Linked DNA regions of Diceros bicornis minor. The protein of the gene in region 2 interacts with the protein of the main gene of each other region in a pairwise test. Links are inferred from orthologs where the notes say so. Each region holds a gene or a part of one and is shown on either strand. Other genes may lie near its edges.

Region 1 (11,028 bases), about 3.0 Mb from region 2:
AGATAATATCAAAAAATTATTGCTTAATTTATTAGGTGTTGTAATGATATTGTGGATTTTTAAAAACTTATTATTTGTTAGAGATACATGCCAAAGTACTTATGGGTAAAAAGATATGATATCTGACATTTTGCTACAAAACACTTAGATATTAGGTGGAGGATAGATAAAATAAGAATGGTAAAATGTTGATAATTGTTAAAGCTAAGTGATGAGTACATTTTACTGTTCTCTCTACTTTTGTGGGTTTTAAAATTTCCATAATAAAAATTTGTAAAAAGAAAAAAAATGAAATGGTTCCAGACTGGTAGTTCTCCTAAGCACATGGCAGAAGCAAATGTAAAATATCTCTGGAAGAAAGCAACTTCAAGCTGGCCTTTAAGAATCCTCAAAAATAGTTTTTAAGGGCAATGGTACCATGAGTGAGAATCAACGGTAACTATTGAGCAGAAACATGCCTGCAAAGGCTTTAGATAATGGAATTACCCAATACAGATTATGAAACAACAATGTTAAATGCTATGTTTAAAGACATAAAATGAAAGCTTGAAAATATCAGCAGAAGACAGGAAAACATAAAAATGACTTAGCAGACGAGGAAAAAATAAGTAAAATTTCTAGAAATGAAAAAAATAAAATTTAAAACTCAAAGGATGGGTTTAACAGAAAGTTAGACATAGTCAAAGAAAGAATTTGTTCATTGAAGGATAGGTCAGAAGAAAATACCTAAAATGCAGCAAACAGAGTAAAAAAGATGGAAAATATGAAAATGAAGTTGAGAGGACAAAATAAATGTGTATTTTGAGAAAAAAGCCTTTAATACCACAAATCCTTATTAAAATAAATTCTTAAAAAATATACTTAAGGTGAAGGGAAATGATCCCATATGGAAAGTCTGATGTGCAAGAAGGAATGAAACACAAAGAAAGTGGGAGATTTGTGGGTAAATCTAACACTCATTTGCTAAAACAATAACAAGATTCTGGGGGTTAAAAAAAAACTAAAATAGTTGAAAAAATAACATGTAAGTCACAAGGAATATGACTGAAATAAGATAAAAAGAAAAATAAAATGACTGGAAAGAAACAAACAACACTGTCATTTTAGATGGATAATATAATTGTTTATGCAAAAAATTTAGAATAATTTGCAGTTAATTTAAAATTAATGAGTAATTTTAGTAATGCCTCAGGATACAAAATCATTACATAAAAGCCAACTGCATTGTTAATTCACTGGCAACAAACAGAAAATCTGATGTTAAAGGATAATATTTGGAATAGGATCAGAAATACATAATACTAGGAATAAATCTGAAAAACTCTATGCAAAATTTTTCAGGGAAATTAGAAAACTTTATTAAAGAAATTACAGAAAACCTAAATAAATGTAAGTATATGTATAAAACAAACTCTTGGATTGGAAGACTAAAAACCTCAGAGATAACAATTAATCCTAAATTGATCTATGGACTCAATACTATCCCAATTGAAGTTTCAATATATATATTTTTGGTAGGATTTGACAAGCCAATTCTAAAATTTATATGGAAGTATGACAAGCCCAAATTAGTTAAGACAATTGTGTTTTTTGGTGAGGAAGATTGTCGCTAAGCTAACACATCTGTGCCATTCTTCCTTTGTTTTGTATGTGGGACACTGCCACAGCATGGGTTGATGAGCGGTGTGCATGTCCGCGCCTGGGATCCGAACCTGTGAACCCCAGGCCGCTGAAGAGGAGCATGCAAACTTAACCTCTATGCCACCAGGCCGGCCCCAAGACAATCCTGAAGAAGCTTTGTAGCGCTTAGACTACCACATATTAGTACTTATTTTGAAGCTGCAATAATACAGGATGATTTTGGTAAAGTATAGATAAATAGATCATGAAACATAATAAGCAGTCTATAACGAAATCCATTCTTATTTGGACACTTGATGTATCACTGGAACAAAGAAAATTTTCAATAAATCATGCTGGAAAATTGGGAAAACAGTGAAATTAGGTCTTTAACTTTATACCACACACAAAAGTCAATTCTAGGTGAATTGACATTCCAAATGTAAACCTTTTAGAAAACGATATAGAAGACAATATTTACGACCTTTGGTTAGGGAATGATTTCTGAAATAGGACACAAAAAGCACAAACCAAAAACAAAAAGATGGATAAATTTGACAACATTAAATAATTTTTGTTCATTTATGCTACCACCTGGAGAAGATATTTATAGCATATATATCCAACAAAAGATTATATACAGAATATGTAAAGAACTCCTACAAACCAATGTAAGAAACAATCAAAAATAGGAGAAATTTGTAAACAGGCATTTCATGGAAAAGAAAATAGAAATGCTTAATAAAAGTAAAGAGGTGCTCAATGTCATTAATTATCAGGGAGATACAAATTAAAACAACAATGTTGGCAAACATGAAAACAAGTCTGACAATTTTATAACTCCTCTTTTTTTCCCTAGATTTATTTATTTATTTATTTTTGTGTGAGGAAGATCAGCCCTGAGCTAACATCCATGCCAATCCTCCTCTTTCTGCTGAGGAAGACTGGCCCTGAGCTAACATCCTTGCCGATATTCCTCCACTGTATGTGGGACGCCGCCACAGCATGGCCTGACAAGTGGTGCGTCGGTGTGCGCCTGGGATCCGAACCCGGGCAGCCAGCAGTGGAGTGCTCGCACTTAACTGCTACGTCATGGGACCGGTCCCAAGTCTGACAATTTTAAATGTTGGTGAGGACATGGAGCAATCTGAAATTTTTTTTTTTTTTTGGTGAGGAAGATTGGCCCTGAGCTAACATCTGTGCCAATCTTCCTCTTTTTGCTTGAGGCAGATCGTCCCCAAGCTAACATCTGTGCCAATCTTCCTCTATTTTGTACGTGGGATGCCACCACAGCACGGCTTGATGAGTGGTGAGCAGGTCGGTGCCCAGGATCCGAACCTGTGAACCCCAGGCCGCTGAAGCGGAGCGTGAGAACATAACCACTATGCCACCATGCTGGCCCCCGATCTTAATGTTTTTATACTGCTGCTGGGAGCACAATCATTTGGAAAACAATTTGACATTATCTAGAAAGTAGAACATGCACATATCATATGACTGAGCAATTCTACACCTATATACATACCCTAGAAGAGTCTCCAGACCAGCAGCATATGCATTAGAAATAAAAATTCTCAGCTCACTCCAGACTTTCTAAATCAGAAAATCTGAGGACGGGGTCAACAATCTGTTTTAACAAGCCCGTCTGATGACTTTAATGTACACTAAAGTTTGAGAATGATTGTCCTAGAGAAACTTTTTTTAAGACATATTTTTCTATAGCTTTATTGAGGTATATAAAATCGTTTTAAGTGTGCCCTGGAGAAACACTTGCACCATTCATAATGGCAATGTTTATAATAACAAAAAACTGGAAATGACCCAAATGTCCATTATAGTAGAAAAGATAAGTAAATTTTATATGATTGCTTGACTACTATTCAGAAATGAAGAAGGATGATCTAATACTGACACCAACATTGATGAATCGCAAAAACACAAAGATGATTTCAACAGTAATTTTCAGAAGAACAAATCTTATGAAGTCCAAAAGCATGCAAAATTAAACATAGGACGTAGGGATAAATCTTCTATTAAAAAGAAGGGAAAGATTAGCAAAAAATATTAGTATTGGTCTATTTCTTAAGATGGATGGTGACTACTCAGCTGTTCATTTTATTATTAAAAAACTAAACTGTGCATATATATTATATATGTGCTTTTGCATATATAACATGAGTTCAAATAAAAATAAGAAAAATTGATTTTGTCTAAACAGGTGTTTGTCTGTGGTCACTCATACAAACTGCTGATCAAAAGGAAGAAAAACACTTGAAGTCTAAATTTTTGAGGAAACTATATTGCATCTCAAGACTGCCTGGAAAAGCTCATGATTCTTCAATGCTTACCATCCCCCGGATCCTGCATTTGCACCAATAGGGAGTAGATTGTGAAAGTTGTACATTTCCCCCAGAAAAGACTTTTTCCTCAATGCCCACATCAGATGCTGCCAGGTGGCTTTGGAATAAACACATTTTCCAAAGAAGTACACCAGGAGCTAGGAGGGGATGGATAGGGGAGCTCCTTCCAGAGAACAGAATCTGAGGCTGCCTGATGTGATTGGTTGTGCGAGGAACTTTCTCCACTGTTGGAACTTGGAGTCATTACTGTTCCTGCCCAGCAGAATTTGGTATGTGCCATAGACTAGTGTCTTCTGGGTATTTCCCATTCTCCCCTTTTTTGAGTTAGAGTTTTTATTTTAATTATCCTATTCTATCCTCATCACTGTACTATTGGGTATTGGGTAGGGGTTGGTTGGGGGGAGCAAACAACTTTCTTGTGTTGTAGTTCTCAACTGCCAAACCATTAAGAGTTAATGACTGATAGAGAAGACTGCAGGTTACAGACGTCAAGCTGGGTACAGCAGCTGACTGAGACTTTAGGATTGCCTTCCTTAGGGGTTTGATGAATGCATTCAATGTAAAGTGTCTTTATGGGAAGAAAGGTGTGCAAGCGTATTAAGCAGTTCAAGAGGTGAGTTGTGGCAGACCCTACGGATTGACCAACCAGACACACATTTCTAACCCTCTCCTTGACCACCTCTATCACAGAGCCTGGAAAACCTAAGTATTGTACTTGCTTTCCTAGCTTCCTTCATACAACTAGGATGGCCATGTGACATAGTTCTGGCCAGTGATACATAAGTGAAAATCTTTCGGGAGAGGGGCTTCTAGGAAAACTCTTACTTGACAAAAGGAACAGCTGATGTTGGTTACTCCCCTTCTTCCTTCCTTGATTTGGATATGATTTCTAGAGCTCTTCCAACCATGGAGAAAACGCCCTGAATCAATGCCAGCAACTGTCTATCCCTCCACTTCTTTAAAGTAACAAAAACCTTATGTTTAATTAAGCCACTGTTAACTGGATTACTCTGTTATTTGCAGAAGATAGCATTCCTAACTTATACATCACTGCAAAATGCTGGTAATACCTATCTCATTTTACGAAGACTACATATGTAAAATACCTAACACCTGCCTAGGCAAATTTCAAGTTCTTCTGTCTATCCTACTTCCTAGATCAATGTAGCTACCTTTTGGAGGAAATTATAGTCCCATTATACTTTTTTATTAAAGCAGAAGTCAAAACCATATACAATATTCTGATTAGCAAAGGTGTCAGTTTTATACAAGGTTAGAATAACATTTTCTATTTGTTCCATAGTCTTATTTGTCATGCCTAATATTTTTGTTGACTTCTTTGGTCAGAAGAGTTTACTACTTCAGCATCTTCCTGGAAGAGTCCACAATTACACTAAGCCTATTTTAATTATTTCCCTCTAGATTTATTAAATTGTACTTGCCTACATAAATACTCCCCTGCCACTTTTCTATAAGCTCGCATAGCTTAGCACTTGCTGCTATTTATATTTGTTAGTCTAGCTGCTGCCTAAAAGCTGGGCTAGGTGCTCATAAAGAGAAAACTGGTAGCCGCAGCCCACAAGATGTGACTGGGGAGACTACTGAGTGGGGCTCCTTCCCCTAAAATAACCCCATTTCAGGATCACTCCTTTATCTGCGTGTTGACAGCTTTTTAACCTTAAAACGTTCCTATAAAATGCAAATATGTCTGGGAAGCTTCAAACTTTATTGGCTAAGGTTGAGTTACAAGATAACACTTTGGCGGAGAGTAATTAACAAAAAGCAGCGAGGACGTCAAAGTGGGGATGGGAACAGGCTGAGAGGAGGACCGACTTTAGAGGGGAAAAAAGGGCACTCACTGAAAAGGGAGGTAGGAGGGGCACCTAAACAATTTGTCTACATAATATTTTGCTTTTTGGACCTGAAATATTCAGGAAAGTACTTTTGAAATAAAGTATTGTAGTTCAATGAATTATTTTCCTTATTGTTTGCCGATTCTCCCTCCCAGATAATTTACAGAGGGCGCTCAAGCCGATCTCTAGGGAGCCTCCGCGTTTCCTGAGTAACGATGATCCAGGTTGCTAAACCAAATTATGGACAAATCGCCAATCGCACGGTAATTCAACTATAAAAAGATTTTGTGGATAATATTTCCAAAGGTTTAAAAAAAATCTTAACTAAATCGTTTCTATTTGTTTCTGCTTAAACCCGCTATTCACTTCCTTTGAAGAACATGTTGCTTCAGTGACACCCAAACTGGACCCAGACATCCAGGACTGTTGATTTTACGTTACACTTTTGTAAACGCCAATTTTGAAGACATTGTCGGCGATTATGGGGAGGTGGGCCTCAAACTATCCAGAACCTTCTCAAAACCGGCGAAAAGCACTGTACAAAGAAATAAGCCATGTTTTGTGCGTCCATTATATGCGAAGTATTGCACTCCTTTGTGACTTGTTACTTTACAAAGACACCTGCCAGACCAGGGAAGGGAAGCGTCAGAGGCAGGGTTTGGGGAGGGCGGTAAACAGCGCCCCCTGTCGGGCGGGGCTGTGCTGGGAGACAGCGGGTTTCTCGCGCCCCGCGTGGGCGGCCAGGCGGCAGCGCGCGCGCCCCGCGCCGGCACGGCGGTCTTGGGGCCGGGCCAATCCGGAGGCGGCCGGGAGGGGGCGCGGCCGCCGGGCGGGGCCCGCTCTGGCTCCTCCGCCGTCGGCTCGCGCGCAGGGCGGGCTCCGGGCGCGCGGCGCCGGCATCGCTCTTCCCCGCCGGCCATGGAGCGACTGACGTTGCCTCCCGGCGGCGCGGCGGCGGTGGACGAGTACCTGGAGTACCGGAGGTGAGGCGGCGGCTCCGCGGGGCGGGCGGGCCGGGAGGAGCGCAGGGGGCGCGGTCAGGGGCCCGCCGGGGCTCCCCGAATCCTTTCCCGGGCTGTTGGGAGAGGCTTACAGTGATTTCAAGTTTCGTCTTTCTGTAATTAAATATTTTAATGACACGCTGTTCTATTCTAATAAGTCTCTCCTGAGGCTAAGAGGTCTTCCTCTCCGACCGCTTCCCAGGAGGATTATTAACTCTAGCTTTATGCAAAGGTCCAATTGTTTTTTCTAAATGTCTGTCCAAGAATTACATATTGAATACGCGGGGCCTATAAAAGTTAGCAGATGGTAGTTGAGTTTGCATGGTAGTTTAGTAATAGGATAAGTCGTGAAATTCCAAACATGCTCCCAACCCCGAAGTGCTGGTTTTAGGAGAAAGCACGGACTGGTGTAGTTTCCGTGGTTCTGGAGAAACTCCTTTGCAGAAACTAGAAAAGCAGCTGCCTCTTTGGCTTGAGGACACGGCTCACTGCCCCGGGCCCTGACAAAGGCTGATGCACCTGCAGCGACCTGTTCTTTTTAAGGTCTCTCAAGAAAGCTTTTGACAGTTGGAAAACTGGGTGAGTGGGAATTTACTGGAGAGGGACAAGCAGGAGGATACTGGGGGGTGGGGCGGGGTTAATGTGTGTGTATAAAGGGGAATTGAGACAATCACAGCCCTGCCTGGGAAACCTGAGTGAGAGAGGCTGCTTGCCTGAAAGGTAGTCACCCCAGATCACCCAGGAGTTCCCTTGTTGACTGCACTCCCTCTGACTGTGTCGGTGGTATAGTTTTGGGTAACGCTTAAAAATGCGTGGTAATTCTGAGCCAGAAAAGTGAGGGTGAAGAGCTTGGTGGGTCAGGCCTCATCCCGGGTTCAGGTGGGTCCGGATAACTCCAGGAGTCCTGTGGTCAGAACAGCTTCCACCCAGCCCTCACCCAAGGCAGAGATGGCCCCTTGAGTCTCCCGGGCTTTTCCCTAGGAGCAAGTTGCTGGGCTCTGATGTTGACTGATAACTTAGATATTTAGACGTTTAGATATGTGGATTGTGGGCATCCAGCTGTAGTCTCTTGCCTGGCCCAGAAAATGTTAGGGCCTGATGGGAAATTATTTTTGCAAACATAAATAACCTGGAACAATTTGCTATAAACATTAGAGCCTTGCTACTCAAAGTGTAGCCATCATGGACCAGCGGTGTAGGCATCACCTGGGAGCTTGTTAGAAATGCAGACTCTCAGGCCCACTCCAGACCTATTAATCTGAATCTGCATTTGAACTAGATCCCTTGGGGATTCTGTAACTACAGTATCTTTTGAACTACATTGGTTTAGAATTTAAATACAAATGATCTCTTTAAAGGTCCGCATTGATCTTAAAGTCTTTCTAGTGCCTGTCGGTATACTTTTTGGTAGCTATAATAAAGCAAAATGGCTTAAAACTTTATCTCAGAATAAAATTCTCTTTGTTTTTTCACACTTGTATATCTAAATTATTTAAGGAAGAAAGTTGTGATGATTTCATGGCTTCTGAATTGGTTTTATTTATCCGCCTCAGCTAAAGGCTTGAAAATATGGAAAAAGGTATGGATTGCACAAAAAATTATATAGCATTCTGCAAACAACACTTTTCATGATTTTTAAAGGGGGATATTTTCACGGAGAAGTTTCTTCAATTTTGAACAAATTCTTTTAATTGTGCTTCCTTTTTCTCCAGGGAAACCAACTCTTAATTTATTAAGAAATTAAGAAATAATGGTGAATTAATTTTTCCCATAAAATTTTGAGGTCTTGCTTCTGGGATTAAACAATGATGCACCTGATTGCTCAACACACATGTGGGTTTGAGCTTGTTCAGATCCAAGGGTGTTTGTGGGTCCTGCATTAGTTTAAACTCCTAGACAGGGTTTAGAGTTGAGTACGGACATTAGTCATGTTGTCTTCTCTGGTGATGTTTTTTGTACTATTTTTAAAGGAGGAAAATGTTAAAATTTTTAGCAGTTGAGGTTCCAGCTTTTAATGAGAACAATGAGCATGTTTGCTTCAGAAATAAAGGAGAAATTGGGATGCATGTGTGGTAATTCTCCAGTGGTAAACTGTGATCATTCAAGTCAGATGTTATAAATTCATTGACTTTCTTGTTTATAATTTTCTTCTATATGGGAAGCAAAAGCTTTATTACCATTGTATGTAATTTTGCTATTAACTGAGCCTAAAGTAAAAAAAACTCAAAGCTGAAGCAGCCTTTCCTTTGACTATACAAGTATAGTTTTTTTTTTGTGAGGAAGATTAGCCCTGAGCTAACAGCCGATGCCAATCCTCCTATTTTTCCTGAGGAAGATTGGCCCGGGGCTAACATCTGTGCCCATCTTCCTCTATTTTATATGGGATGCCACCACAGCATGGCTTGAGAAGCAGCACATCGGTGTGTGCCCGGGATTTGAACCTGCGAACCCCGTGCCACCAAAGCAGAGCATGCGCACTTAACCGCTATGCCACCAGGCTGGCCCCATATACAAGTATAGTTTAATTTTAGAGTTTAGTATTTTTAACCTGGAAAATAAATAATTAGGGCTTAAGAGAAGTATTTTTTTCCTTCTAGAATTGTCGGTGAGGATGATGGAGGGAAACTTTTTACTCCTGAAGAATATGAAGAATATAAAAGAAAAGTTTTACCTATGCGCTTACAGAACAGATTATTCGTGAGCTGGCGATCACCAACTGGAATGGACTGTAAACTTGTGGGGCCAGAGACACTCTGTTTTTGTACACATAGGTAAGATCTTTATTCCTAAGTTTTCTGGCGATTAGAAATTATAAAACTGTAGCAGAGCTTATCTTCCTTCTATAAATAACATTATTTGTGATAACTGAGAAACATTTAAAAATAGGCCTTTATATAATATCCTGGAAATAATCTAAAGGTTTTTTTTGCTATAATTAAAAAATTTCTATTATATTCTTTTAGAACTCATTATGGAGTCCATCACCTTAAGCATCTCTTCTCTTGCCATTGGTAAGAAAGATATGGCGCCCCTGTGGCTTTGCTGGGGGTCTTTTGGTTAGGCTGGGAGTGGAGTCTACCTCTCCCACCGCTGGACAGATAGCAGAGGACTGCAGAGTTGCTTCAGTGACCTACACTGAACAGGTTACCAATTTACAAGTAGAAGGATTTCTCCTCAAATTTACTAATCTCCCTTTATACTTTAAGAAATGTGTTGTGTCGATACCTTTCTTTAAACAAACAAAAATACAAGCACACAGCTTTTTATTACAAATGGTCCTTTTCCGGGGAAAGCACATGGAAGAAAGGAATACACGAGGCTTCAGTCGTTGACGTGTGTTGCCTGTACCTGAGGGTTGCATTTGGTTATGTGTCATGTTCTACTTAAAATTATTCTATTGTCACAGGTCACAGTTGTAAAGCTCAAAGGGACAAAGCTGCTTCACGGAAAAATCACTGAACCTATAATGTATTTTTAGTTAACAACTTTAACTTTTCCAAAGGAACCACGGAGGGAGAACTGCCCTGTTGTAATAGTTTCTGGGGCTCTTTGATGAGAGACTCTTTGTATAGTTGCTGTTTACAGACTTGCAGTTTGCCAAAGGTTGTTAGGCAGTTGCTAGGATGAGTAATGTTGTATATAGATTGACTTGAGACTTACATAGCAACCCCAAGGAAAATACTGTGGAGGAATGGAGGATGAGGTTTGCGTTGATATCTTTCCAAACTGCAGAGGAGTTTGGTAGATTGTGTTAGTTTTATCATTTATTCTTGTACAAATTTAGTGCCAGTCTCTAATCTATGTATAATTATACAGCATGGAATTAACCTTCAAAATGGACTCAACCCAACTTCGATGGAAAAGTTTTCTTTAGTACTAGTCACTCAGTGAGATCTCTGCCTAAACTATTTTTTTTCCCTATTATAAAAGCAAAACATGGTTATTAAGGAAAATGAGGAATATACAGAAGAGTAGAAAAAAGACTCACCGCCGAAAGCCAGCTGCTGTTCATACATTTTGCTATATTCATGAAATTTTTTCCTTATGTCGTTCATTTAGTTGTTGTCAAATATGTGTGTGTATAAATATTGAACTAATTTTTCATGACAGAATCACAGAAATACGTTTCCACGTTGTTATGTAGTAATCGCAAACAAGATTTTTAATACCTGCTCGGTGTTTCAGCTAGTCCAG
Region 2 (10,816 bases):
TTGGCAGAAAGCTAGATGAGAGGAGGCAGAAGGCAGCTGGAAGCTCCTCTCCCTCCTCCCCCCAAAAAAGAGCCAGGAAGGGAGAGGAAAGTGTTTTAAGTTTCTAGTAAACACTGTTTAGCAAAAGAATAATAGGAAAGTTGCCCCTTTCCCAAAGAGGGATGGAACTATAATTGTTGCCTTTAGCAGAGAGCTCAGATAAACCGCTGGGACTCATTCTAAAGTGACCCATCACAGCATTCATCTCTTCTTGAACTTTTGGTGAACCTGAGATTAAACAGGGGTGAGCAGCTAAGCATTTGTTGTTAGCAGCCTTTTCAACAACCCTTTCAGACTGAGTAAATATTGATCGGTTTGAATCTGATTGCCCCAGAGGAAAACACTGCAGCATCTGAATAGCCTCCAAAAGTAAACTTTCAAAGGTGAAGCCCAGAGCAGACTTCACAGCCGCAGCCGATCTCAACTCTGCATGGTTTGGGGACACCCTGAATTTCAGGAGTACTTTGAATGAAAGTGAGGGAAGTGAGGAAAAAGCATTTGAAAACTGGAAATTTATGTTGCAATTATCTCAAGTCCTTAATTGAGACTCTTGTCCTTTTTAAATTTATTCATAAAATGTTATTTTCTGTTTTTCTTCTTTTGTTGTTTCAGTTACCATTGCTGTCATTTTTCAAGGAGCTAACTGTGCTCCTCAGAGACCAAAACAGAAAAAGAGAGACCTTGAAATAGGATGTGTTAAGCGCCTTTGATTTAATCGATTGGGGCAACTAAAAAGATACAAATGTTTTCCTTGTTGAAAGGTATATTAATGTTTCCTAAATGCATTGCTTGTTAACTGATTTATTCCATGACCTAGAGAAGTCTTGGGATGTTCAGCCATAATTTATCGTTCTCCTCTCTCTCAGCTACATTAAAACAGCACCTTGAAGATTAGAATCTCCGGGATTCCAGCTGGTCGGGCCCTGCTTTTAGATATTGAAATCAGGGCAGTGGCATGCAAATGACATTTTAACACATTAAAGTATTTGGAAACCGGCCATCTGTTTTGCTGTATGGCCTTACACTAATAAACAAAAGATACTGTGTAAGGCCTGGCGGGGAAATGAAAGAAAGAGTTGGCTGACTTTGAAGTTCTCCCCCATCCACTTGGTCTTTTAGAGGCAACCCCAGAACCCAGGAGCAGAGGAGAGAGCACCCGATGCCCTTGATATGGCCGCAGTAACTGTGCCTGAAAAGTCCGGGCTTGCCCCCTTTGACAGGGAAGTACAGGAAATCTCATGGGTGTTCTAGGAGGCCTGCAAATTCCAAGTTTTTGTAGGATTTCTCCCCTGGCCCCCTGCACATCCTTTGTAAAACACCCTTTGGAGAGGAAGGAATCATATGTCTGTTTTTGTTTGTGATGCTGTAAAATCTCTGCTCTACTCTTGGGGCTAAATTAAAGCCTCCAAAAAAGTGTGAAAGTAAAGGAAAAGTGGTAAGAAGTCTACAAGGAGAGCCACTTTGAACTCTTTGATTTGCTGGCTTCCTCTGTTTGAGAGCAGAGACATGCCTTAATCGGAAGCAACTTGAATATTGAAAGACTTCACGGCAGCTTCCACAAGTTTACCTGGAGGAACCTGTTGAGCCCAGAGAAGAAAATACAAACTTTTTTTTCTGGGTTATGTGGCATGGAATTGGAACTGCGGATCCATTACAGCCATGACGACTGTGAAATCAAAGCTGAATCTGATGGGAATGAGATGTGTAACCCAGAGGGGTGGAGGGGGGAGCTGTGGAAAGTGGCAGGAAGGGGTGGATACTGACCAGAGGAATGGGAGGAGAGATGCAAAGGTTTACTGAAAACAGACTACACTCAGTTTAAAAGAGTGGAATATATTGGAACACTCTCTGGCAATCCAAAAAGAAGGAAGAAGGGTGGGGTGGGGGACCCATCCTCAAACAGCTTTATACTGGAGCTAATTAAATGTGAATCTCTTAGCTCTTGGTTCACTGATGTGAGGAAAGACTGACTGAAGAGTTTCAGCTTTTGAAGGGGGTTCTGTTTATATATACGTCAACATTCAGTTGGAGGTCAAAAGGTTAGCACTTGACCCAGGAAGTATCCATGTTTGTTTCAAAAATAGATCTGCTTCATAAATTTCTTTATCACTCATTTTTTCCATTATGAATTTTGATTATAATAAAGGAACTATTTATTTTAAAGAAAATCAATCTGTTAAATAGACTTCGGTTAGGTGCAATTACACTCTTTAGGAGAAGCTTCAGCTACATAATGGAAAGCATTTACTTTTTTCAAGAAAAGGCCCACCTCTTTGAAAATGCACACCACTTTTATCCCCTTCCCTGCATGAAATGAACCAACTTTGTAGGAACCAACAGATTATAACTAAGCCAAACAGATGCTTAAACATATCTGAAACTTGAATATATTTATTACAGACATCTTAAGACCCGTAAACTCTGCTCTGGATCACATCACTCCAGGATCTCAGAGCTGTTCATGATTGTACAGGAAATGGGGAATATCATAGACTCACAAAGAATAACTGATAGAACTCAGTGTGGTACTTTAGGGACATCAAAACATTGTGCGACATGCAAAAGACTATTCACGAATCACACAAAATATACATTCATTGTGCCATCCATCACATTAACAACTGAGCTGAAAATAAATCATATCCAGCTAAGATAACTGTGGAAGGAAGAAGCTGATTTGAAGAATACTTTTAGGTTCCCAATAATCCAGCACAAATTTTAAATAGAGTGTGGCCAGAGAAACCAGAAAGGGTGGGGATGAAGAGAGACAGCACAGGAAGCAAGGTTTCTGAACCTTGTGTTCTGCAGGCCTTCTGAACTCACTGAAAGAAGAAATTGAGACTATCCTCGGAGGCATCTGATTGAGTTTAAATGAGGGCTTTAATTGTTTAACCTATAATCACATCTAAAATTGTACCAGCTTTGAGAGTTTGCCCCACCCTGTTTTAGTTGCTTAATCTAAACGTTTCTAGAAAATCTGTATAAAGATAAATCTCTCAGGACAAAGTATTTACAACCAGCAAACTCACACACATGAAACAATTAAATTAAGAGATGAATTAATTGTGTAAACATGATCATAGTGCATCTCTTCTTCGTGAGCTCCTGGAATCTCTCCTCTCTCTCCATCCTACTTTAAGGGCAAAGTAGGGGAGAACTGTAAATATACAGATAGATAAAAGATGAGAGGCCTTCCTCTGACATGTTTCTGCTGGCAAAGAAGACTATTTTCCAAAGGGCATCTGAAAGGAACAGTAAGTTCTGTGGAAATCTCCCAAAAGTAGGGAGGGGTATTAAGGACCACCAGAAAATTGATGCTGGCACCCAATCTGCATTAAGGAGTTAACGCCCCACCATCACCACCACCACCAATTGAACCTTTAGTCTAGAATTCTCTGGAAACACATTATTCTAGCCAGGAGCTCCCCAGATAGGATCAGAAAGGAAGAGAGAGGCTGTAAATGGAAAGGAAGATAAGCTAAGAATGTGCTTTGGGTAAGAAGTCGCAGCCGGAGGAGTAGCCTGGGCTGTGGAGTCTGGGGCTGGGGGCGGCCTCAGTGGGAGGTAGTCAGAGTGTCTGAGGTAGAAGACGCTGGGGAAGGAACGCAGGGCGAGGAGCTGGACTTCTCTGAGGATTCCTCGGCCTTCTCCTCGCTTCCCGGCGGGGTGGCCGGAGAGATGGGCAAGAGGCCCTCCTTCTCTCGTTTCTTCTGCTTCATTCGGCGGTTCTGGAACCAGATCTTCACTTGGGTCTCATTAAGCTGTAGGGACGCGGCAATCTCCACCCTGCGGGCGCGCGTCAGGTACTTGTTGAAGTGGAACTCCTTCTCCAGCTCCGTGAGCTGCTTCGTGGTGAAGTTGGTGCGCACCGCGTTGGGTTGACCGACGTAGCCGTACTCTCCAACTTTCCCTGGGGGCAGGGTGGGAAGTGATGAAAGAGAAAAAGATAAAATTTTTACAATCGATATGAAATCCCCTACACTCTTCAGAGCAACATTCAGGTAAAGGCGAGATCAAGAATTTCTCCACAAACCGGGCTGGGGAGAGTGAGTGATGAGGTGTAAAGTGTTAATCTGAAGTCAGCCATTAGCGTGGTCAGACCGGTGATTAATGGAGCCTGGAGATATTAACAGAACCCCCCCCCCCACACACACACACAGACCTACCCACTTCCTACTCCCAGAACCTCTAAAAGTCAGCCTCTTTGGAAACACAACAGTCCCAGATGCTCCTTTGCCCCAACACACCTGGGCAATGTGCCCATGCCCTACAACACCGGTAGGAAGCAAGAACTTTTTTAAAAAAAGCCGTTATTAATTTTACTTGGAAACTAAGCATACCAGCTCCTTCCAGAATCATCAAGAAGCATCCACAGAATGGCAAGACTGACCTGTTTTGGGAGGGTTTCTTTTGACTTTCATCCAGTCAAAGGTCTGCGCTGGAGAAGACGTCTCTGATGCAGGGGAGCGACAGGCTTCTTGGTGGCTGGCGTGGAGAGGGGACAAGGAGTTATTATACGTGGCCAGGGCCAAGCTCTGATGCTCTTGTCCATATGAGTGGTGAATATACTGAGGCGAGCCCACCGCGCCCCCGGCATAACCCTGGTGGTGGTGGTGATGCTGGACCATGGGAGATGAGAGATTTCCAGAGTAAACAGCGGGAGCGCACGAGGGGTACCCACCACTTACTTCTGCTTCCTGATTTAACGGGTAGGGGCTGTAAGGCGCGCCGAAGTTCTGCGCGCCGTAGCTTGGACCACAACTCGAGTGGGAGTACGACACCCCCAGGTTCCCGGGAGTCTGGTAGGTGGCCGGCTGGGGGTGGTGATGGTGGTGGTGATGGTGGTGGTGGGGCGGGCTGATCTGCACCCCCCTGCCCACTAGGAAGCGGTCGTCGCCGCCACAGCTGTTGGCACTGACTGCACACGACTGGAAAGTTGTAATTCCATGGTCGGAGGGGTAGGCTCGCGCTGAGCAGGTCCCCGAGTCGCCACCGCTGAGGATGGGGTATTCCAGGAAGGAGCTCATTCTTGCATTGTCCATCTGTCACTGAGTGACCGGGTCCTGTGAAGCCCTGGTTGACCGTGCCAACTTTCTCACTTCCTCCATGGGGCCGGAGAAGAAAAATGATATGAATGTACAGTGCGCCAGAGGGGGGGCGGGAGGGCGGAGGGCGCTTGGGGAGGGGCACGTGACTAAATAAACCAATGGCGGAGCCTCCTGCGAAAGTTTGCTGGCTCGCGCGGTGATGGATCACCGTTTCAGTGGCATTTAAATCCCCGGCGCTCCTCAGTCTGGGTGACGCGCAGTCGCCCCCCCAGGCAGCCCAGGCGGCGGCAGCAGCTGCGGTGGCTGCAAGGGCAGATTCGGAGCGCTGGGGTGAAGGGGAACAGAGGCTGCCTTCTGCGCGCGCCGACGCCGCTCGCCCCCCCCACCTCCAGGAGGTGGGGGCCTGGAGGCATCCCCCGTCTCCGCCTCCCTCCCCACCATGCAAAGAAAGATGAACTGGCAAGAGGTGAGAAGACAAGAGGGCTCCGTTCTCTCTTGGGTCGGGAATCAGTGGGCCGGAGCTCGCTTGGCGGCCTCCAGCACACAGGCTGAGCCCGGAGGCGCGCCGAGCTGGAAGGGCAGGTCCCCGGGCGCTTTCACTGCACAGTTCCTGCTGTGGTGCCGTGGGGCAGTGAGGAGCGCACGAGGCTGGGCCACCAGCTCTCCAACCTCTGAACGGAGAGGGAAGTGCGCAGAGAGCTGGCTGGGAGGAACCTGGGTGGGCGTGGAGGGGACGAGGGCAAGAAAAGAAACTTCCCTTCTCCGCGGAGGGTCTCCGAAGCTCCCCCCACTCCGACGCACACACACTGGCTATTAACATGGCAATAAGGAGTTTCTGTAATTCGACGCCCGGGAACGGGTGAGCCCTAGGAGCTACGCTTGCCGGAAAAGGCCGCGGGTGGCCCGGCTCTTTGCCCTCCCTCTCTCCTCGCTCTCCGCCCCTTTCTCCTCCCCACTCAGCTTTGGTCCGGGAGCCCTACGAGATCTGGAGATACTCGGACACTGGATTTTGAGGGGTAGGAGGCGGGGGAGAGAGATGACGCTAGCGGACGTGGCCAGCGTGGGGGCCGGGCCGTGCGCTGCAGGCCATCTGCCGGCTCCCCAGGATCCAGGAGCCTGAGCGCTGCTCCGGTGGGGGCCTCAAGGGGTGAGACCACAGCTCCAACAAAGTACGCTGAACTCCCCCGCAACGTTTCGCCTTTTCTGGGGGAGGATATTAGGAGTGGTAGAGCTTCCTTTATCCATCCACACCCCATTCTACTGCACGTCTGAAGTGGGAGTGGGGGCTGGCAGGTGGGAGGGGCGGTAGACAGATGGCTGATGGTGAACCGGACGTTTTCTTCTCCCCCAACACCACCTCCTCCCCTTTGTAACCGACTGTGTAGTTGCTTGAGTGAACCTTCAAGTCTTTCCCCAGAGAGACACGTGCAAATCTCAGCGTCATCCCAGGCCAGGGGTCCTGTTTTCCATCACTCTCATCCTACCCTGATGCTGATGGGGTCGTTAATTGCTGTTTACTATTAGGTTTCGTGTCAACCCTTGGCTTGTAGAGAGAAAAGGCCAAACAGAGGCCGAGAATTGATGCATTCTTAGGTAAAAGAAATGCAGAGATCATCCAAGAAGCTTTGCAGCTAAGGCTGTATAGATTTTTCTCTGACCATGTTTACCCCATGGGAATCTGACAGATGAAATGTACCTGAGGATTGTATGTGGATTTGGGGTTCCCACTCCCCTCTAGTTTTCCCTCCCCAGTTAGAAGAAGGAAGTTTTGCTTGAGGCAGGCACATCCTTAATGTTAGTCAACTTTTCAGGATTCTGCGTTCTGTTCTCCACATAGAGAAGTTCCCCCCAAACCTGTCCCCGCAAGAGGGACATTTGCTGACAAACTCTTGCAAACATTTGACTATGGATTCCCTCAGTAGCAGAGAAACATTCTCCCTAAACATTTCCTTTTGAAATGGTATTTTCCTGTGACCTTTGACCCATCCCCAATCTTGGTTAAGAGGGAGCAGAGGCGGGAAAGGTCACTCCTGCCCCAATTTCTGCACCTGGGGAACCTCATCTTAGAGAAGGGAAAAGGCAAGGCAAGGCAGCCCTCCTGGAGGCGGCTTCCTTGGGAGAGCCAGTCCTCTAGCGACGGGGAGAGAAGGCGCTCCTGTGGGGGAGGAGGCAGGACGTGAGGGGCTGGCACTGCGGACAATATGCTCTCCGAGCCGAAGCTTGTCGGTACGTTCTTCCCCGCTTGCCTCATTCCTGTCCTTTTGTTGGCCTCCTCGGCCCAGGTTTGCGCGACCCCCTCGGCCACAGGGCTCACGCCACAAAGCCGCCCCGGGCCTCCACCGCTCTCCTTCCTCTGCTAGTTCTCGGCCTCTGCGCGCCTCTCCCTCCACCTCTCTTCCTCCCTCCAGGCCTCTTTTCTGGGCCAGGGTGGGTGGGCTGTTTTTCTTGAGATCACAAGCTTGCAGTCGCACACAGGCCCGCAGACACACGGGTCGGCGACCGACCCGCCTCCCAGCACTGCCTCCCGCTCCCTGCAGGCCGGGCTCTCGCGGCTGAGCCGGCTCCGCCCCGGCTGGCCGCCCAGAGCGCTGCTTTCCCGGTGCCGCTCACAAAGGCAGCCTCCTCTGGCCTCGAGCCCGCAGGCTTCCGTACCTCGATTCCTTCCCCACCCCCACGAAATCCAGGGGCTCATTCCCCCGCGTAGGAGACCCTTGGTCCTGTGGACAAGTAGGCCGGGGCCCCACGACTCGAGCTGAAGTGTCTTTAAACGCCACCGGAGAGTGGGTGAATAGGCGAGCTTGGTCCCTATTTAAATGATCGCCTGCAAGCGGCTTGCTGGGCTCAAAGCGCCTCTTTCAGGGCTATTCTACTAGAAAGGGAAGGAGCGAGGAGGAGACAAAACGCCGCCGAGGCCCGGAGCTGTTCATGGCATCCGCGGCTCAGCCAAGCTGTTGTTTTAAAAGAGCAATAAAAATGAATTATGACTAAACGCCTTCTAACTTAATGCTTTCGGACGGGGATCCCCGGCAAATACGTAAGAGGATTTTTATTTGTGCATGTGTTCCTGCAATTGATCTCTTTGATGACATTCTCATTCATGGAAAGCGTTTGATTTATGAGCGTAGGACGAATCGCAAACGGCAGCGGCTCAGCCCCGGCCGCGGCCGGGCCGCCCTGCTTCGCTCAGCGCTTAGGGCAGGAGACCTGCCGGGGTCCTCACATGCCTCCGCCGCTGCGGGGATTTAGGGGGCAAAGAGGTGGGGAAAGGTAGGGAGCAAACCCACGGAGAAAGACCGCGATTTCCTTGTAACTTCCAAGCCTTTGCTATTAAGAGCCGGGTTCTTAAATCAACCCGCCCCCACACATGTTGCTTACACGCTGCGTTTTCTCACGGTAAGTAAGGAGCCATCAGAACAGCTCAGTACGGAGAAAAATAAACATGGGGAGACTTAGAAGGGAGAAAAAAAAAAACAGAACAACCCAGTAACATACCCTAGATCACATTTTATTGATATTTCATTTAAAGTGCTTTTTCTCTTTCTCTTTCTAGAAACTGGATTAATTTATAACCTAGGGTGCAGAAACACTCCATTTGAAATCTCAACTTACTAACTTGACTTCAAAGCTTTCATGATCCATTATTTGCCATGTAAACAGATTTAAGAATGAAATATTGATTTTATGACCCTGAAAAAACGAATCCTAGAATGACTGAACCAGAGAATTGGAAAGAACCCTTTCTGAAATGTATTTTCCAGCTAGTAACCATTGTTTTGTTTTATTTTTGTTTTTCTCTTTTAGGTCTGTTTGCCTGGACCCATCAACAGCTGGGAGACTAATCCACCACACTGAAAATGTGCGGGATATGTGGGGGAGGGGGTTGGAATATAGATGTTTGAAACAAATGTGTATAAATAAATGAATTGTTGATAACTTATTATGTTATTGACTGGAGACTGGTAGCTTGTTAAAGAAACTCCATGTTCCTCCAACCTGGAATTGGGGGTTTCTGTAGGCACTTTATTTCTCCACTTTCAGAAGCTTGGGCTTGGCCCAACTCGGAGGCTGCCCAGTCCTGTTTCTATTACCAGTTTAAATCTATGGCTTGAACCTCTACACTAAAAAACCAAATCCATTCCCTTAAAAAAAAATGCAAAACATTTCTCAGAAGCCCTAACCATTTTCTGGCTTTCTTTTTTGTTGCTATTTATTGATGACTTTAAACATGCTCCTTTAATAAATATATTAAAATTGAAAAAGATGAATCGTGACCAGAATTTTATTTACCAAGTTAGACTAAACGAAGAAAAAGAAAACATTATGAGCCTTGAGAAAGAGGGGGAGAAAAAAATAAGAAAGCTACTTATAGCAAAGGAGAATTTATTCTACCAAAAAATACGCATGACAATGCATCCTAATGTAATACAAAAATAAAAAGAAAGTGAAGATACAATTATATGATCACTTTCTTGCAGGCCTCATATATTGCTTTCAGGAAATCACATAGAGGGTTGTTGGATGAGATTTAAAACAACTAAAACTCCAAAATAATCTGTAAAAGATGGCTCTGAAACTGGGTCAGGGGAATCACTAAACAGAAAATCGTCAACATTTAAAGGAGGGAGAGGGTAGGCTGGGAAGAAAATAAAAGAAAAATCAACTCTCAGAATAAAAGAAGGCAAAACCACCTGGTCAAAGGGGTTTTTGTTTTGTGATGCTTTGTTTTGCTTTAATGTTTTTAGTAATTCAGATGCTGCAAGTCAATTGTGGTGAGTGTGTCTGTAAAAAAGTCAAAGCTGTCAGCTGAAATATCTACAGGACTGTCGAGGGAACCTGGCAAACTGGGCGAGACTGCATCTGAAAGCTGCAGGCAGGAATCTGTGGAGAAAACGTTAAAGTCCTGCAAAGAGGGGACCTCGAGGGCCTCGGGACTGTCATTGTTTAGGCCAGAGCCACAGTTCTGGCCCATTGTTGACAAGCAGTTAGGAACAGTGGGTGACTGGTGCTGAAAATGTTTCAGATTTTTCTCATTGCTAGTTAAAGGCGAAACTGGGAAACTCTGGGAGTCGCCATTGTGTCCATTGGGAGCCTGCTGCTGAGAGAGGGCATTTTGCTGAAAAGTGTAACCTTCTCTCTCCAGAAGGGCCCCGGAGACGCTGAGGGCTTGCTCAAAGAGCGACTTCTCTTCCTCATCCTCCTCCACTTTCTCAGAGTCTTCCAGGCTTTTAAATTTCCCGTCGCTGTTTTGGTTCTCCTTGCACTGCGTCTGCCTCTTGTGCTTCATCCTCCGGTTCTGAAACCACACTTTCACTTGTCTCTCAGTCAAATCCAGCAAAGCTGCAATTTCCACCCTTCGGGGTCTGCAAAGGTACTTGTTGAAATGAAATTCTTTTTCCAGCTCTAAAAGCTGAGTGTTGGTGTAAGCAGTTCTCAGGCGCCGGGAGCCCCCGCCGCTGCCATCGGCGATTTCCAGGGATTCTGCGGAAAGGGAAACCAACAAGAGACACACGCACAGTTGGAGGTGGAGGGGTCCGAGCGGGGTTATTCCACTGGAGAATAAATATAGCAGAAAAGATCAACTGCAACAAAATGGCCGCCCCTGGATGCAGTAGAGCTATTGTGCTGCCTTTCCTGGGAGCCCAGCCCGGGGAGACCCCATCTCTTCCACCTCCATCAAATTCCTGCCTTTAGCTTCCCCCAACCTCTCCATCCGGAAGCAAACTTTATAT
Region 3 (10,883 bases), on a different chromosome or scaffold from region 2:
AATTCAAGTGTGAGCTAAAGCATTTTCAATCACATGTACATAATATTATGCAAAAATAGGAACTTATCATTTCCCTCTCTTCCTTCAAATACCACTTTTCCTCAAAATATGCTTCTGCACAAGATTTCTCCCTGTTGGGGCTGCCACCCTGTGCCACATTTTCTATATGCAACATATAGAAATAATGTATTTCCTTCATCTAACAATGAAGGAAATTATTATACTCATCCAGAAGAAAGTCAAGAAAGAATACTGATATGTTCAAAGTACGAAGTGTAAGCCTGACTTGGGGTCAATATGAAAATATTTGTATTAAACACCATCTTAGGGGGCCGGTCCCATGGCTTAGCAGTTAAGTGCGTGCGCTCCGCTACTGGTGGCCCAGGTTTGGATCCCGGGCGCGCACCGACGCACCGCTTGTCTGGCCATGCTGAGGCCGCGTCCCACATACAGCAACTAGAAGGACATGCAACTATGACATACAACTATCTACTGGGGCTTTGGGGAGAAAAAGGGAAAAAAAAAAAAAAAAAAAAAGGAGGAGGAATGGCAATAGATGTTAGCTCAGGGCCCGTCTTCCTCAGCAAAAAGAGGAGGATTGGCATGGATGTTAGCTCAGGGCTGATCTTCCTCACAAAAAAAAAATATATATATAAAAAAATAAACACCATCTTAAAGCAGACTGTTTATGCAAATTATACATTTTGCATCCTTATGTCCCCAAAATCTGATTACGCCCCAAAACTAAGCAAGACCTGCCTGTGTAGTAGAAAATGGAAGGTAACTTACTTTCTCACATCACTATAATGACATGCCAAATCACGCCATACGAGAATACAGTGATTTCTAAAATAAAATAAGAGTAATACTGTAATACAATATACTAAAGTAAGGACAAAAAAGAGTAGAAATATTCAACTATAAAGGTCTACTCAAAAGTGAAATCTGTGAAAACACATATGGATAGATCTACATCTTTTCAGACCGACCTGGATTACAGATGATTCAGTTTACACTATCATTTACTTTCAAATTGGTAAGAGAAGATTGCTCTGAACAGCTCTTAGTTTTAAAAAGTGGGGGGTGGGGGGGTGGCAGGCGTGCAGACAGCAGCAGTGATAAGCTTAACCAGTCTTACTATAACTGTTTTAATAGCTCTTCATTTATACTCAAAGGCAAGAAAAACTGAACCTGCTCAATAGTTACAGTAACCCATAAGCACCAATTTCAAAAACCTTTATAGGTGCTAACTGGACTGCTCATTGGCATAGTATGCCTGTGAATTATGCATGACCGAGTCATGTCAAGTTTTACATTACGATTACTATACTTATCTATGTCATCACAAAACAGGCTTAGGCTTTCAATGCAGAAAGATTCTTATTAATTCTCACCAAAATACTTCACATAGTAATTTAACCTCATATAAATTGCTTAGAAATGAAAAAATAAGACCAAAGTGAATCACTGTTAGGTTTGAATACAGCAGTTCAGATTTCTTAGTACTTTGCTTTACATGTATGTTTCTCAAAGTGGAACACTACAGGTGTGGAGGATAATTAATAAAGTAATAAAGGCTAATATTTATTGAACACAGTACCACACAATGTGATGAATTCTTTGCAATGTATTGTCTCATTTAATCCTTAATAACCTTAAAAGTTAGGTGCTATACTATCTTCATCTTAACTGAAAGAGACATAGATAATTTACCCAAAAAGTGGCAGAGGATAGATTTGAACCCAGAGCCTAGAACCAAGGTAACATGGAAGACAGGGAAGTGGCTGAGGAGATCACAGAAATATTAACTCCCAATGTAAAAAGGCATACTGTTTACTGATAGCATCTAGTTCCTCATTCCTCGTTATACTCTGGAATAGTGGTTTTCACTCCTGGCTACACATCAGAATCACTTGTCGGACTTTTTAAAAAACCATCCATGCCAGGGACACTCACTCAGATACTTGGCCTTCAATTGTCCTGGCCTGGGGCAAAGACAGGGTTTTTGTTTTTTGGTTTTTTTTTAAAGCTCCCCAGGTGATTCTAACAGGAAGCTAAGATTGAGAACCTGTAATTCTCACCCATCCTGTTAACCTCTCTGAGTAGCCAACTACAATCAAATTTACTGATCACCTATTTGGTTCTGAGCACTTCGCCTACGACATTTTCCATCTACCCAACAGCGCTTAGCTTTTCTTTTCCTTCAACAGAGGAAACATTACAACTACAGCTGCACCTTTCTAAACAATAAAACTTCGCCAGCTTTCTTTGACACGAGGAATGTAGGGGGAAAGGTGGGCAGATAACATGAAAAACTTTGAAAATCCCTTCTTTAAGCACCCATATACTCCTTAGGTTTAAAAGAATGTAAAAACGTCCTAAGCGCCAAACTAAAAATTAAATGGCAGGCTATGAGAGTAAAAAAGTTCTGTGATATATATTAAAGAAAGATTTAATATCCATGATATTTGGTTATATTTCTTAATTCTGCTGGTGATGACAGTTAAAACACTAAGTAACTGTTATTGTGGTGATAAATTCCATTGTCTTCTCATGGCACTATGACAGTGATTATGCAGTGTTTTTACCCTAAGTCACCTGAATATAAACTAACAGATGCTAAGAAAATCAAAGCATTACATAAGGATACCCAAACAACAATATGGCTGGTCATATCATGTACTGGGCAATGCAAGAATTTTGCTGACAATCTTACATAGGATCTCATATGAGAAGTCTTACTGTTTCACTAAAAGTTATTCACCGCACATCCCACTCGCCCTATACCAAAAATATAATGAAAACTGTTCCAAACAGTCTCAGACTTGCTGGCCCTTTTATTTTAACCAAAAGGTGAAGTGTGGAGATATCTGACAAGCATGGAGGTTTGACCCTTTGATTTGAACAAGAGCTCTAAAATGAAAAAGAGTATAAATACTTCAAGTTGTACAAAACTCGACTTCTCGGAGAAACATTACAAAACTTCCTACTTCCGGACAGCTCATTATTTGGTTCAAGTCTTCACATTCCTTTATTAGTCATAACCTTTCGGAAAGCTATCATTCCCTATTTGGATAATATCGACTTTTAAAGGTTGCTAAGTGGACTTACAGGAACCCTTATCAAATGAAGAAGCCATGCCAGAGTTCATGCCCAAAGGAGGGACTTAGATTACAGAGAACCCAACCCCCAGTAACCCAAGCAGAGGGTGTCCATCACCTAGATTTTTTTAAAAATATATATCGTTCTGCATATCTTAAATACATGTTCATCTACACATTTTTATCATACACAATTACAGGAACTTGCATTAGTTCCGCAGAAATTGACTCTGCAGGAAACTGGGAAGACCTGTGGGTATGTGTGAAACAGACAGAACGGCAATGAACCAGCCATGACCGATTGTCACTGGGGTCTCTAACGGCCCAGATCTGGCCTCTGAGCCATATGTCACCAGGCTCAAAGGCACAGACGAGACGAGAGAACCACAGGGCAACTGGATGAGAACACAAGGGGGAGGCACCTCATTACGTGTACTTTCACCCCGAAGCTGAAGGGGTGGCCCGAAGGGCAGACTCCAGAGAAAAACCTTCTCTTCTGGGATCCGTCACCATCCCAGGCCTGTAGGGCCTGCTAAGAGGGGTGTGTAGGGGAGGAAGGGCAGCGTCTGTCTCCACTTCGGAGACCTAAACAAACAAAAATACTGCAAGTTCTCACTTCCTGGTCGCCTCCTCTTCCCGAAGGCCCCCGACACAAGGCAGACACCGGGGAAGAGGGCTCCCGAGGAGTAAGGGGGCCCACCCCAGCCCCGCACCTCCCGTCCTCGCCCTCGCCCTCCTCCGGGCCTTACACGGTGACGTGACCGGAGCCGCGGACCACCACCGGGTCCGGGGAGTACTTGAGCAGCTGCTCCTCCAGGGCCCGCTCCTCGTCCTCCTCCTCCTCATAGATCTCGTCGAAATCCGCCATCCTGAGCCTCCGAGGCCCCCTGCCCGAAGGGGCCTGCCTCCAGGAGCCGGGGCCGGGATTCGGGCTGGCGAGGCGGCGGAGGCTGAGGGGAGTCGCTGCCGCGGGCTCGGAGGCCGCGGAGTTCGCTCTTGGCCGTCTCGGCTCAGGCTACAGAGGAGATGGGGTCCCGGCCGTCGCCGTCGCCGCCGCCATTACCGTCAGCAATAACAACAACACAATGTCAACATCCGCCCAAGGGCCGACACCTCCACCAGCTCCACCGCCGCCGCCGTCGCCGCCGCAGCAGCAACTCAGGCAACCACAGCAACAGCCAGGGCTACCCGCAGCGGGAGCAGCCGCCTACGGCATCGCGAGACTTCCCGGGAGTGCAGGCGGGCGCGTGGGCGCGCGGGTTGGCGGGCGGGAGCGCGCACGCGAGGCCTCGCGCGCTCCCAGGCCGCCTGCCTTCCTCCGCTCCCACCCCCGACGACGCCTTGGGCGCGCGCTCCCGCCGGCCGGGCCCCGCCCTCCCGCAAATGGGTCGCCTACCCGCAAAGGGAGTGGCTCTGCGGGCCGGAGGCGTTGACCCCGACTCAAAAACAGAGCTCGGACTGTCCGGTGGGGCACTTAGTTCCCGAAAGTAATCTCGAACCAAAACAAACAACTAAAAATAAAAACCCTGGGTGGAATGGAGAATTCATGGTGCGTGTGATTGCCAGTTTATCTAATAACCGAATCTCGCTTTTCGTCAGTTTTTTCAGTCTGTGATGAGAACGAGAGTCTGTACTTTCCCAGTTGGAGGAGCCCAACAGGCAAACCGCAGATACTTTTGTCCACTATAATACAGGACTTTTCAAAACGTCCAAATTCAAACATCTTGTCCCATCATCTCATTAAATATAGTCCAATATATGAGGCCAATGACGCTGATTTCTTTTTTCTTACAAGAAAACTCAATTGTATTCATACCGTGAAACAAAATTGACAAATTCTCTCGATTCCACATTAGAAGATGCAGTTTCCTGCCCCAACTCTCTCATCGACCATAACCTGTTTTCTTCCGTTAAGACCTTAAGGAATCTCTTTCGCTTTCTTACAGCTCCTCCCACGAAAGGGAACGGGAGGGCTGTGGCGTGGGCGGCGGCAAGAGTTGAAGGAATTCCCCTTACCTGCCTAGACCACTAGTAAAGTCCTAAGGGTCACCTTGGGTACTTGGTTTCATAGTCAAGAACCTGTCCAGGCATTCAAATAGTTCAGGGGTAAGAGTGGGCTCCTGAGAGAGTCCTGAATATTGAGCATACACTGTGAGGGCAGAAAAGGATAGTCATAGAGGCCCCACCGCTGGTCAGACTATTCTCCGAGTACAGTGTTTACATCCTGGCAGTTGACTTTAGCTGGGTCATTGTTGAAGTTGAGAAAGTGCAATGCAGGACAATGAGGACAATGAGAAATGCCAATCTCCTATTGAAAATGGTTGAGGGAAATGAGCATAGTTAGCCAAGAAAAAGATGAAGGAAAAACACAGTAGATGTATCAGACTTGCTGTATATCTCTCCAGAGGACATTTATTCATTCAACAAATATTTACTGAGCTCTAACTGTGTGGCAGGCACTGTGCAAGGGTGTGGGGGGGGGTGTGTATGTGTATGTATGTGTGAATGAGATACAATCCCTGCCTTCTAGTAGCTTTTTTATCACTAAGGCAAGCAATTGTAATTCTGTCAAGTGCTCCCAGAGGGAGTATACAGAGGGTGCTAAGGAAGCACACAGAAGGTGGCTTGGTTTGGTGGTTAACAATGGGCTCTGGAGCCTAACTGCCTGCCTTTGAATCTCAGCTCTGCCACTTACTGTGTGACCCTGGCCAAGTCACTTAACCTCTCTGTTCCTCATGTGTAAAATGAGATCATAATAGTATCTACCCCACTGGGCTGCTCTGAGATTAAAGGATTAATAGATGTGAAGTGCTTAGAAGAAGGCCTGGCATGCAGTAAATATGGGATGGCGATAGGGGATCTCTAAGGCCCCCTCCAGCTAATCAACTCTATGAGGATCAGCACAATTTTTTGCATTATGTAACACTTTACTGTTTATGAAGTACATACATAACATTTCATTTAATATTCCCCAAGAACCCTGTGAAGTAACCAAGGAGGATGTAATTTGTTCCTTAGTTTCAGGGATGCTATGACTTTCTCATGGCCAAATGGCTATTTAATAGTCAAATTCAGGGCTTCAACTCCAGCGCACTGGGTAGGCCAAGCTCCTGAATTTCCTTCTTGGCAGGAACCAGGCGGCCAGAGGCTTCACTCTGAAGGCGTGGCTGCAAATGGGAGGATGAGAAAAGGGAACAAGGGGAAGGGAGGTCAGTGTGTTCCGGGCATGGCCAACACCCTGTGTGCTGTGACTGAGAATTCACCTTTCTGTAGAAGCAGTCACCAAGATAAGGGGCTGGTGCCCCAAAGTACCTAAATCATCACATAGCTGACATCTTCCTAAGGGCAGAGGAAGTCACACACAGCTCCTTAAATCTCTAGCACTTTCCACAGTTCCTGCTCCAGAGAAAGAGCTCAATAAATGTTATCTGAATTGAGATATATTGTTTCTAGTGCTATTTCCAGATCATCATGAGTTAATTAGACTTCCCAGGACTGTGAGAGCCTCACCCTTATCTTAACACTGGTTCTGTGTGGGAGAAATGTTCTTATTCTAAGACCTATTCAACAGAGAGAACTTTGTAACTCCCACTGCCTCAGTGGAAGGTAGGGGCTGCCTTGTTTTTGCCCTTCCTATTTTGCTCTTCTTTTTCTTGCTCTGGAAAACCTGTCAGAGCCAGCAAAAGGGTGTGGGACTTGGGAACAAGGCCGAGAGGGTGAAGGAAGATGAGTCAAATCTTTCCCTGATGATCGTTGACATCATAATCCCAAACTTCACTCCAAACCCTTCAGGGTCCAATTTCCTGTCAGACTACTTCCCTGGTCTCTTCCTGAGGATGAAGCCCCTTCTCAGTATCTTTTCCCTCAGTGTCCAGGTGCTCTCCTGCTATCTGCTGTACGGACTCCTCTCCATCTCAGTTCCCCTTTGTGTTCCTGCTTCACACACTTGCACATTTACCTTCAGACCAAATGGCTCAAAACCAAACAGGATAATGCCTCAGGGGCCTCACGAGGCAAAAAAATCTTTAGTTGCATTTTAAGGCAAATATTCCTAGGTTTGAAAATTTCAAGTTCTGTCACTACCTAGCTGAGTGGCCTTGGACAGATTCAACTTGCTAAGCTTCCTTTTCTTCATCCTGAAGTGGAACCTATGTCAAGGGGTTATCAAGGATCAAATGAGGTAATGCACGTGCTATGGACTGAATTGTGTCCCCCCAAAATTCATATGTGGAAGCCCTAACTCACAATGTGATGGTATTTGGAGATAAGGCCTTTGGGATGTAATTAGGTTTAGATGAGGTCAGGAGGATAGAGTCCTCAGGATGAGATTAGTGCCTTGATAACAGGAGACCAGAGAGCTTGCTTTCCCTACCACCCGCCCCCAGAAAGGTGTGAGGCAGAAAGAAGACTGCCGCCTGCAAGCCAGGAAGCTGGCCCTCACCAGGAACCAAACCAGTCAGCACTTTGATCTGGAACTTCCAGTCTCCAGAACTGTGAGAAATAAATTTCTGTTGTTGAATTACTCAGTCTATGGTATTTCATTATGGCAGCCCAAGCTGACTAAGACAGCATTTAAACCCTGATTTGTTTACTCATTCATTCGTTAAACAAATATGCATCAAATTATTCCCATGTGCCATACTCTGTGCCAGGAACTAGGGTTTAGCAATAAGGTAGTAAACAAAACACAGTCCGTGACTTAATGGCGCATAAAGTCCATTGGGGAGGGCTGACAGATAATTATAAAAATCAGTAACTGTTAGAATTGTGATCAGTCCTGTGGACAAGAGCAGGGGAGACCATGGGCCGGCCCCGTGGCTTAGCGGTTGAGCGCTCGCGCTCCGCTGCTGGTGGCCCGGGGTTCGCATTCCGGGCGTGCACTGACGCACCGCTTCTCCGGCTAAGGCCGCGTCCCACATACAGTAATTAGAAGGATGTGCAGCTATGACATACAACTACCTACTGGGGCTTTGGGGGAAAAATAAATAAATAAGTAAAATTTAAATAAATAAATAAATAAAAAGAACAGGGGAGACCATGAGATCAGTTAACAGATCTAACTCACTCTGAGAAATCAAGAATTCTTCTCTGGAGAAATGACATTTAAGTTGAGCTAAGCAAAAGTATGAGGGTGGGGAAATAGAAGAGAGGAGAAAGTTCTAGGCAGCAGAAACAGCATGTTTGCCTTAGTTTGGGCCGCTATAACAGAGTGCCATAGACTAGGTGGCTTATAAACAACAGAAATTTATTTCTCTGCCCTCATGACCCAATCATCTATTAAACACCCCATCTCCTAATACCATCACATTGGGGGTTAAGATTTCAACATATGAATTTTAGGAGAACACAAACATTCAGTCTATAGTAATGTTTAAAGACCCTGAGGCAGAAAAGAGCACAACCCAAATCAGATACAAACTAGAGCCGGTGTGGCTGGACCACAGCAAAGAAGGCAGAGCCCAACTGGGATGGGGGCAAAGAGGTTGGTAGAAACATGAAGGTCTTGGTAAGGAATCTGAAGTTCATCCTAAAAGTAAAGGAGATACACTGAGGATGTGAAGCCAGGCAGGTGCATTTTAAAATCTCCAAATGGGTGAGTCCAGTAGATCAACCTACCCAGCATGTATCCCCTACTTCCTCTGAAAACAGTACATATCCCCTCCTTCCTTGTGGTAAGTCATATCTCTCCCACTATCAGTACATATGATTGGGTTAAGCTGACCACATCCCCAATTCCAAGAGTGGGCATGTGACCTAGGGCTGGCAAATCAGAGAGCATGGGGTACCCTGGGGCCAGGGATTGGTTTGAATGGATACATGATTCACACAGAGCCAATGAGATTCGATACCAGGGCTTTTAATAGAACTATTGGGAAGGTGGGAAAAATCTCTTTTTCTATGAATCTGCTAGGAGCCATGCTGCTCTTGCAGTTGTAGAAACTGCCTGAGAATGATGACAACACTGAGGAAAGCAGGACCAAGGGATATATATATCCCTTATATATATAATGGAATACTACTCAGCCATAAAAAAGGCAGGAGTTTTAATACCCATGCTGTGACAGGAGACTTGGCTATGGGTAGGTTCAAGGCAGGACCACAGCATCCAACCAGGAAGGGCTGCAAGAAAGAAACCAGAAAAACTCTGCCCATTGGCCCAAAGAAGCAATGTGGAAAATATTTCTCTTGGAATTCTGTGTTGGAGAAATACAAGTCTCTAGTGAAAAATAAAAGCCCCAGGCCTGTGCCCTGCTTGACTGCCATGTCTAAATTTACACCAAACTTGTGTTACAGGAATGGCCAACCTAAGAAATTAGTTGAAGGAGGGATCATATCTAGCACATGATTTCTGAAAAAGGCAAATAGGATGGAATCTAGAATACAGTGCCTGGAACCTGGTAATCACACAGAATATGTTAGCTATTTTTCTTCTTATTACTCTATCTTTATTAAATCTAAAAAGAGTGATATAGACAATAACAAGAATAATATATGATTTTTGATGTTTTGAATCTAATTTATTTGGACAGGGTAGATGTAGTATTAGGAAACATGGCTTCAGGAGAAAAAATACTTGGTGTCAGCCATGATCCCCATCTTCCAGCCATGAGAAGCATCTCTAGCCATGAGCAGCATCTTCCAGCCATGAGCAGCATCTCCAGCCATGAGTGCTATCATCCTAGGTGTGAGGAAGTATTTTAAATTGCATCAGCAGAGTTTTAAATTGTCTTGAGAAACTCAAACTTCTTGGTCCTCTGGGAAAACAAATAAAATGTCTTACTTAGTCTTTACTCATAGGTATAATTCCAAAAAAGAAAGTAATCCTCTCAACCCACATTGATTATTTAAAAACTCTTTTTAACCTAAAATTTGTACTATGTGTCTCCCAATCTTAGAGTTTATGGTGCTCAGAGTATAAGTAATGAAAAATAGTACTGCTGCCCCGGTGCCCTAGGATTAAGGAAAGGTTGTGTCCAATACAACCATGTGAAAGGCCTTTGGGGAGCCACAGAGATCCTCTCCTGCTTCCATAGTCATCTCAACAACTGTAGCGATGAAGGAGAGGGAAAGAAGGTGATCTGAACTAGGCTGGGAGCTTCCTGAGGGCAAAATCTATTTTATTTGGGAAAAGAAACAAAGGCTTATACAGCATATATAGTATTCCAGACGCTGTTCTAAGCACTTTGCACATATCAAACCATTTAGCTTTGCAAACACCCTTATGGTAGGCACCATTTTCATCCCCATTTTACATATATGCAAACTGAGGCAAAAGGAAATTAGGTAACTTGGCCCAAGGCCACACAACTAGGAAGTGGTAGAACCAGGAGTTGAGCCTAAACAGTACGTTTGCTTCCCACTATGCTCTATAGTCTTAAACACCAGCAGAGGAATATTCAGATTACTTCCTTTTATCTTCCCAATACCTACAAGAGTGCCTGGCATATAGTTATTGCATTATAAATATTTAACAGGGGCCAGCCTGGTGGCAAGCGGTTAGGTGCGTGCACTCTGCTGCTGGTGACCCGGGTTCGGATCCCAGGCGCGCACCGACGCACGGCTTGTCAAGCCATGCTGTGGCGGAGTCCCACATAAAGTACAAGAAGATGGGCACGGATGTTAGCTCAGGGCCAGTCTTCCTCAGAAAAAAAAAAAAGAGGAGGATTAGCATCAGATGTTAGCTCGGGGCTGATCTTCCTCACAAAAAAAAAAAATAAATAAATATTCAACAGATGGCTACATGTACGAAATCATCCTGTCTTCATTTTTTCCTTGATCATC

The links. The genes of interacting proteins can lie anywhere in the genome.
Region 1: the proteins of HOXA1 (region 2) and FAM221A interact in binary tests that used the Homo sapiens proteins (3 or more experiments, as listed by UniProt). The link is inferred for Diceros bicornis minor from reciprocal best matches to the Homo sapiens genes HOXA1 and FAM221A.
Region 3: the proteins of HOXA1 (region 2) and CHIC2 interact in binary tests that used the Homo sapiens proteins (3 or more experiments, as listed by UniProt). The two-hybrid records come from large-scale screens. The link is inferred for Diceros bicornis minor from reciprocal best matches to the Homo sapiens genes HOXA1 and CHIC2.

The regions. Positions count from the first base shown.
Region 1 is NC_080742.1:48,952,222-48,963,249, forward strand, and holds the start of FAM221A (protein FAM221A), read left to right. Parts: upstream 1-6,743; 5' UTR 6,744-6,751; coding exon 6,752-6,816; intron 6,817-9,431; coding exon 9,432-9,605; intron 9,606-11,028.
Region 2 is NC_080742.1:51,926,790-51,937,605, forward strand, and holds HOXA1 (homeobox protein Hox-A1), read right to left. Parts: upstream 5,373-10,816; 5' UTR 5,082-5,372; coding exon 4,430-5,081; intron 3,950-4,429; coding exon 3,594-3,949; 3' UTR 2,415-3,593; downstream 1-2,414. Other genes in the region: HOXA2 (homeobox protein Hox-A2), read right to left, coding at 9,826-10,565. UniProt on the Homo sapiens protein: Sequence-specific transcription factor. Regulates multiple developmental processes including brainstem, inner and outer ear, abducens nerve and cardiovascular development and morphogenesis as well as cognition and behavior.
Region 3 is NC_080747.1:42,072,341-42,083,223, forward strand, and holds the start of CHIC2 (cysteine-rich hydrophobic domain-containing protein 2), read right to left. Parts: upstream 4,286-10,883; 5' UTR 3,970-4,285; coding exon 3,851-3,969; intron 1-3,850.